Linked DNA regions of Schizosaccharomyces pombe. The gene in region 2 interacts genetically with the main gene of each other region. Each region holds a gene or a part of one and is shown on either strand. Other genes may lie near its edges.

Region 1 (3,758 bases), 530 kb from region 2:
TTTTAGAAATTTCCAAATGCAGCTTTTGACCCCGAACAAAATTGCCTTGTTCCGCATTTAAAGCCCTAGCACAATCTTCGTTTGTAAAAAACTGAACGAAACCATAATTTGCTTTTAAAACTATCTGTGCTAAAGGCCCATAAATTTTAAAAACTTTCCACAAATTTCGTTTAGATAAGCTCTTTGTATTTAGATGACCCAAAAATAAGCGAGAAGCTGAAGGAAATTGCCCTGGATACCAGTTTGACATTATACTTTCTTCATCTTTCAAAAATTGTTGAAATCTTTGTTCATCCTCTAAGTTCATTTGCAACGATTTCTCGGCAGCATTGTTACCCAAATATTCAACATTTTGTGCTTCATGATTAAGTTGCAAATTTTCAGGACTATACGCAGATTCCGGGGAACTGGGTGTCTGGGGATTATGATGTTCATGTAATTCATTATGCTCATTATAATAATTGGGCAAATTAGCACTATACGAATAAATACTAGTCCTGTGAGCCTCAGGACTAGTTGACAAGTCTTTAGAATAGGGAATAAAATCAGTAGTTCTATAAGGTAAATCTAATTTCTCATGAGACTTTCCATATTCAATTTCTTCAAAATTCACCGAGCTATAAGTTTTTGACGGATCATAATAAGTGGTGTTTTGTAAGGATTGTTCAGGTAAATGCTCTGAAGCGGTCTGAAAATCGTATACTTGTAAATCTTTAGTAGAAGAGTTTTCAGTTTCTTGTTCCACTGGTTCATTGGATATCGAAAAAGGCTTATTTTGCTCAACGTCGAGTGAAGGAGGACTTTGAGAGGTAGATCCGTTTCCCCCCGAAACACTTGGTTGAGTAGTGGAAAGTGAATCCTTACTTTGAAAGTCGGAAGAAGTTGACTCTAAAATTGGAGCTCCATATATGTTTTTAGAAATTTCCTCATTGTTGGTGTCCGAAACTGGAATATTATTATAAGTATCTGAAGGAGTTAACCGAATGTTGCTAGTAGCTGAGTTTAATATTGGTATCTCCAAACTTCCAGAAGGAATACCGGATACTTGATCAAAGTTTGCATCATCTGACTTATTCCCATCCTTATTTTCTAATGTACGTTCATCAACGTTGTTGAATAAAGTGTCGTCTTGTGTTTGTAAAGCACTTATCGAAGCAGCAGCCTGTTTGACAGGTGAGTTGTAGTCTGGTTCATATGGAGATGATACCTGGTCTTGAAGCTCGGAGTTTGTACTGGTTTCTAAAATATTCTGCACAGGAGTTTCCACTTGGAACGAAGAATCTTTAGACGAGGATGACATTTATTGATTGACTTGAAAAGTAAAACCAAAATAAAACATCAAATTTTTTTAATTTATTATTATTAACAGGGAATATGAAGGAGAATTAAGAGGACAGAGTAACAAAAACAAAATTAGCTTTAAAAGATTAAAGTACTAAATTTTATGCATTTGATAAACTGGTCCAATTTTTAAATAAAATATTTACACAAGGTGCAATGAATGGAAATAACTAGAGGGTGAAACAGAAAAAGTAAAAATTTCACACTCAACCAAATGTGTAAAGAGTTGGCGATTAAAAGGAAATTTATGCAGATGGTTTTCTTCCAACTACCTTTATTTTTTTTTCTTCTTCACAACTTTATGTCTTAGGTAGAAGATACGGCGGAGTGGTACTAAAATTGCATCCTTTAAATAGATGAAAAATTAAGTTGCCACTCAAATGAATGGAACTTCGGGCTTTTCAAAACCACCGCCAGGGAAATGACATGAAAACAATTTTACTATCCCGAAATTTTCTTTTTTTCAGCTTCTGCACTGATAGCATAATCGTTTCCAAAACAAACTGTAAACTAAATTTTCATAAAAGCAGTAAATTTTCAAACTTGGAGATATCGGGGTAGGGTTACCGTTATTGCAGTTCAAATAACCATTGCTATTATTTAATATGTATAAAAAAACCATGTAGTAATAGACTCGTGTGCAAAGTACACTTCAGCTGGGTTTGAGGTGCAAGGTTGCCAATTAAGAAACGTAGTACTGATTCTTTTCACCTCTACCATACTTATTCAATGTTAAATGCTTATAACATTGATATCCACGGTTTTCATCCTATATTCAAACTATGCTTCCTGCCTTTAGTAACAAGCTTGCGTAATGCATTGTTTCCTGCATTTATTCGTTTGTTAAATTATAACGATATTTTGACGATTATACTATCCTTCCGTAACGTTAATATAATAATCAAAAATTTATATTGTTATAGGTCTTTAAAGGTAAAATCAATGTAAATAAATGTATTATTGCTAACATGTAGAAAATTTGATACTAACTTGAAAATTTTATGCAAGTACAAAATGGACTGTCCATTCAAGCAATGCCTTTCACTCTTGTATGTTTTGTTAAACTTTGCGTGGAAGAAACGCTTTCAAAATTATGGCTGAAGTTCGATCGAAAGAGAAGGAAACAATAATTACGTTTGCGAGACAAAACTAGTTTTTAAAAAAATTTTGTATATATATTTAAGTGGCTGTTAGTCTAATTATTATTTATTTTATTCATTCTTTAGATTTTATTTTATTTTATTTTTTATGTCGTATAGTATTACTTTATTTACGTTTCAATATGTATTTTTTGTTAAATTGCTTATTCACGAAATATTTTTCCATTTGCAATAAAATTTCTTTTCCTTTACTATATTTGCTTATTTAAAGTTCTTTTTTAATCACAACTCTATGACAATTTTCTACTCCTCATTTATAATACGAAAACTGAACAATCATAAAATTGAACTGTTTTACTTCACATAAATATCCAGCTACGATACTCCTATACCGTTTTTACATAGACAACAATCTCAAAATCGCAATATGATCATCCATTTACATATTCTATACTCTATGTACTATAACGCTTCTTAGTGCCTGGTTTACTCTTTCAAAGCTGTCAGGTGCATAAATATTGATGACAGAAAATCACCACAAGCGCACTCAAAGGCTTAAATAAAATAAACATTATCTATCGTTCGTTTTTTTTGGTAAAGAAAAAATGCTTCCACAAAGTTAAATTGTCACTTTTTCCCCATGTTTTATTTACCTTCAACGCCTCGTTGAAGGCCATTCTGCATCTCAAATTTGTCGCACTTTTCATGCAAGTTGAAAAATTGGTTATACACAATTTAAACCTCATACGAGGAGCTTCTTCCTCTCATCTGATTTTTAACACTGAAGTTTATCCTCATACTCACATATAACAATAGCGTTGGGTGTAGCATGGCAACAAAGGTTCCTGCGGTAGTAGGTAAAAGGCCCCCACGCTTGACTGATCCCCCACGGCTGATGACCACTAGTATTAAGGTCGCTGACGTTCTTCCTTTTCCTTTATACATCTTGTACAGACTGGGTCATTAGGTCTTCTCTCTACAACCATCGTCTAAACAAAAAGATGTCAGAAACTATATCGGATCCTTATCCTCTAACTAATCCAAATGCTCCATTAGGGCACCCAGGGCATTTGAATTCTACACAGCAAGCTACGCTAGATAGCATGCGTTTAGAGTTACAAAAACTTGGATACACGGAAAGATTAGACGATGCCACTTTAGTAAGTTGTACAGCAGGAAACTTTGTGTTTGTACTAATGGATTCTTAGTTGCGTTTTTTGAGAGCCCGTAAATTTAATTTGCAACAGTCGCTGGAAATGTTTATTAAATGCGAAAAGTGGAGAAAAGAATTTGGTGTTGATGATCTTATCAAAAACT
Region 2 (3,758 bases):
TTTCTCTTTAATAGAAGGGACTGATTTTTCTTTTTTAATCTCGCTTTTCAGGGAATTGTTTGTGGTAACCGACTTTGCCTTTTTTAAAACTTTTTCGTTGAGCTTTTCGCCTTTATCTCCTACATTCTTTCTCTCACCTTTCTTTCTTTTTTTTTCTTTTCTAGATTCTTTCGTTTGGTCTGATGCGCTTTTACTTACTGGACCTAAGTCCCAATCTACTTTAAACATGAAGTAGGGAATAAGATTAAATTTGGTTGTAAGAAAACTTCATCCTACGTACGTCAAACCAATGAAACCATAAAAGTTTCTAAGTATTAAAATAAATAACATTCATTTTTTGTGAACGTAAAATTAAAATAACAAATACTTGAAAAAACTAATCTTGAAATATAAAACTCAGTTTGATTAAGCAATTACGCATATATATAGAATTTTTACTTTCTGATACAAAACACATAAAAAATGATATAAAACACATTAATTTGAAAGAATTCGTCTACAATAGTAGAACAGGACCGATCTTGAAAATAATCATTTCCCTAATTTTTATCATGACTAAAATCATTGATTATGTATATCCAATCTCCCCGAAATCGAATTAAGTCGTTAAAGGAGAAAAGAAGCAGCTACATCTAAATCTCCATTCGCAGCGTCTAACGCCTGCGCAGCCTCTAATGGATCAAATCCCATACTGACTAGCTGTGCAATTTTGGAGTTCAAACCGGGGTCAGTGGGAGGATTTACCAAGGAAGGGGGATTGGAAGATCCCTCATTGTTGGGTGCTACGCTTTCTTTGGTACCAAGACGAGTGCCACTTTGTGGATTAGGTGAAGAAGCGCTCGCCTTACTTGCAGGTTCAATACCTAAACCGTGTGCATTTGCAGATGGCTCCACATTAGCCAGCAATTTTGGAATTTCAGATTCTCCAAGAAAAGGAATTTCTTTTCCATGAATCCGAAGAACGTTATTTTCTAAATCTATACAAGCTTGATAACGGCGTAACATATCAAGACCAAGTAGCATATCAACATCCCGACCTTCAATAACAGTAAATCGACATGGAAGATATAAATCGCCAATCTTTAAAGGTGCACTGTGAACACAACCTAATATTTTAGCCATTCCTACGCCCTTAGCGACACCTTGAAATCTAGTGTCAAGAAGCCTGGTAAGACCGCACTTTTCAGCGCAATCAGCAGACAAAATGGTAGCTTGAGCACCAGAATCCACAAATGCTTTCACCTTATGACCGTTAATCTCAACGTTTACAAAAAGCATATAAACTTGACCAAACACTTCAGGATGGTTTTCTATTGCCGATTGCATATTCTCGGTCACGGCATTTTGACGAATCTGCTCTTCAATACGTCGTTGGACTTCAACATCAAAGAGGTCATCTTCCTACAAAAATGTTAGTAAATCACCTTCGAAAGCCCTTTATTTATTGTGTCCATTAAAACTAAATTATTGGACTCAGCAGTTTATACGGGCGCTATTATGCGAAATTAAACGTACAGAAAATGAAGGCATTCCCATCGAATATGTAGAAGAAGGAATCTGCAATAATTGAGAAGCATTAATGGACTGCCATGTAGTAGCAAACGCATTGGGATCATTAAGGACAGCAGCTAGTTGAGGAAACTCTGTGCGTATTCGATTTAATAGAAAAGGAGTTGCTAAAATCGTTTGACGAATATTTTCTGGTGTTAAATTATTCATTTTTGTGTTTTCTTAATCACTCTTTGAGGTTATGGTAGAGGAAGGACCTGATTTGGCAGCATGACACGACTTGACTAATCGGCCACCCATATCAATTGCCATCCATAAAGGAATGGCCAAATAAGGAAAATAAAAACTCATTATCATCCATTTTTTTTCAGCAAATAACTCGAACATGCAGCACCATGTCGTAGTAAAAGCATGCACCCCGTATATGAGAATTGCAACCCATAAAACTGGATCCCTCGCTTTCTTTCGTAAGCGTAGAGAAACCCAAATAAAAAAAGGAACTTGAAAGAAAAGTTCTGAAGAAAACAATGCAGTTTTCCAAGGCGCAGGGATTAAAAGAATAGGGTCTTCATATGTAGATAAATAAAAGCGTCGCAAACCAGAAAGACAGCTTAAAGAGCCTCCAAGCCATTCAGTTATAGGTAAATCAACAAATAATGCTGCAGCTAGATGGCTTACGAAATAATAGTAATACAAGGTATCCATGTGAAGGCGTGTGGTTGGCAATTTGTATATCTCACTACTATAAATGCGGCGTAATGAAACCACTTTCATGAACCCAAAACATTGATATTCCTCATTCAGAGATTTTGAATTGCTATAGAAAACAATTTTACAATTTTAAACGGTGACATTGAAAGTTATTAGTATTTTTAATAACAACTGCTTCTCTGCGTATTCTATATACGTTACTTAATAATGTATTATCGTGTTTGTTTTAGAGCACTACGTCTAAATAGTTTTATAAAAACAATACGTTAGATGTTACACTTACAAGCAATAGGAAGACGATTGTTTAGTTTCATATTGGTGGTAATCAGTATATCGAGTAATTTTGTGTGCCAATATTAAGTTAAAAAGCCTCAGGCAGATTTCATTAATTAGTTAGTATTACCGCTTAATTGCCTTCATGTACATGATAATGTTAGACCACATTACTATGAAATTTATCAAGTATTAAAATTTAAATGAAATTCAATGTTATCAGTTCTTTTAAAAAAAAATGATGCAATTAGCAGCCTAAATATAAAAAACAGACTCGTCACATTTCGTACTTAAGTGTGCATAATGTTGAATGGTTTTTAGAATGCTATCTTTCTCTAGATAACTAATAATAAAATCATGAAATTCAATTAATTTGATGTAAAAACATTGTTCTCCCACTCTTGCTATATTGTAAGCATTTGAATTCCAAACTTCCTGCCAACAACCTCAGCGAAATTTAATTCACACCTTTCGAAAAGTTGATCGTTTGTTTTGGAAATTGTGTTATAGGGTCTAAAACAAGCGAACATAAAAAGCTGTTTGTAAAAGGTGCGCCCTTTATCAAAACCTGATTTTCTTTATTCGTTTATTATAAACTTTCATTAAAGACCCAAAACACAGACAATGTTTCTTGGAAAAGCTATAATTCTAATACTATGGATTTTTCTAGCTTTTACAGGTCTTCTAGCTATACAATACTATGTTCCTAATCCTTACTTGGATGAAATATTCCATATTGCACAAGCTCAACGCTTTTGTAGAAAAGATTGGGATTGGGATCCGGCGATTACTACACCTCCTGGTTTATACTTGGTTTCAGTCGCACTCAGCCCATTTATAGGCTGCAGCAATGTATCTCTGAGGTTAATAAACTGGCTTGTAGGCGTAATTGGACTGCCATGGCTTATAAACGATATCGTTTCTCTTTTGAATAATAGGAAAGGAGATGTTGTTACCTATTTCGCTTATACGTTATCGTCATTACCTCCTTTATGGTTTTTCTCATTTTTATACTACACTGATATTGGTAGTACTTTTTTCGTCCTTCTTGCTTATGACTTTGCTCTCCGAAAGTCTGCTTTTTCAAGCTCTGTGTCTTGTTTTTTTTCTCTATGGTTTCGACAGACAAATATCGTTTGGATGGTCTTTATTGCAGTTACATATTTTGCTAGCAATATGTCTTTCTTCAATCCCCACTTAGCTGAAGCAACTTTTGCTGATGTTCTTCTTACTATAATTTCATTCTTAGGGGTTTTTCTTAAAAA

The links. Genes that interact genetically often act in the same process or in processes that back each other up.
Region 1: mutations in mud1 (region 2) and nab3 together harm fitness more than expected from each alone (negative genetic interaction), as found in Schizosaccharomyces pombe (one large-scale study listed by BioGRID).

The regions. Positions count from the first base shown.
Region 1 is NC_003424.3:605,550-609,307, forward strand, and holds the start of nab3 (poly(A)-binding protein Nab3), read right to left. Parts: upstream 1,663-3,758; 5' UTR 1,301-1,662; coding exon 1-1,300. Other genes in the region: spo20 (sec14 cytosolic factor family, phospholipid-intermembrane transfer protein Spo20/Sec14), read left to right, coding at 3,443-3,601, 3,650-3,758.
Region 2 is NC_003424.3:1,137,091-1,140,848, reverse strand, and holds mud1 (UBA domain protein Mud1), read right to left. Parts: upstream 1,732-3,758; 5' UTR 1,720-1,731; coding exon 1,516-1,719; exon of another isoform or gene 1,402-1,515; coding exon 607-1,401; 3' UTR 524-606; downstream 1-523. Other genes in the region: rRNA methyltransferase Rrp8, read right to left, coding at 1-228; protein ema19, read right to left, coding at 1,732-2,283; dolichyl-phosphate-glucose--glycolipid alpha-glucosyltransferase Alg10, read left to right, coding at 3,118-3,758. UniProt on the Schizosaccharomyces pombe protein: Recognizes and binds polyubiquitin chains. Acts as a linker between the 19S proteasome and polyubiquitinated proteins via UBA domain interactions with ubiquitin for their subsequent degradation. Aspartic protease.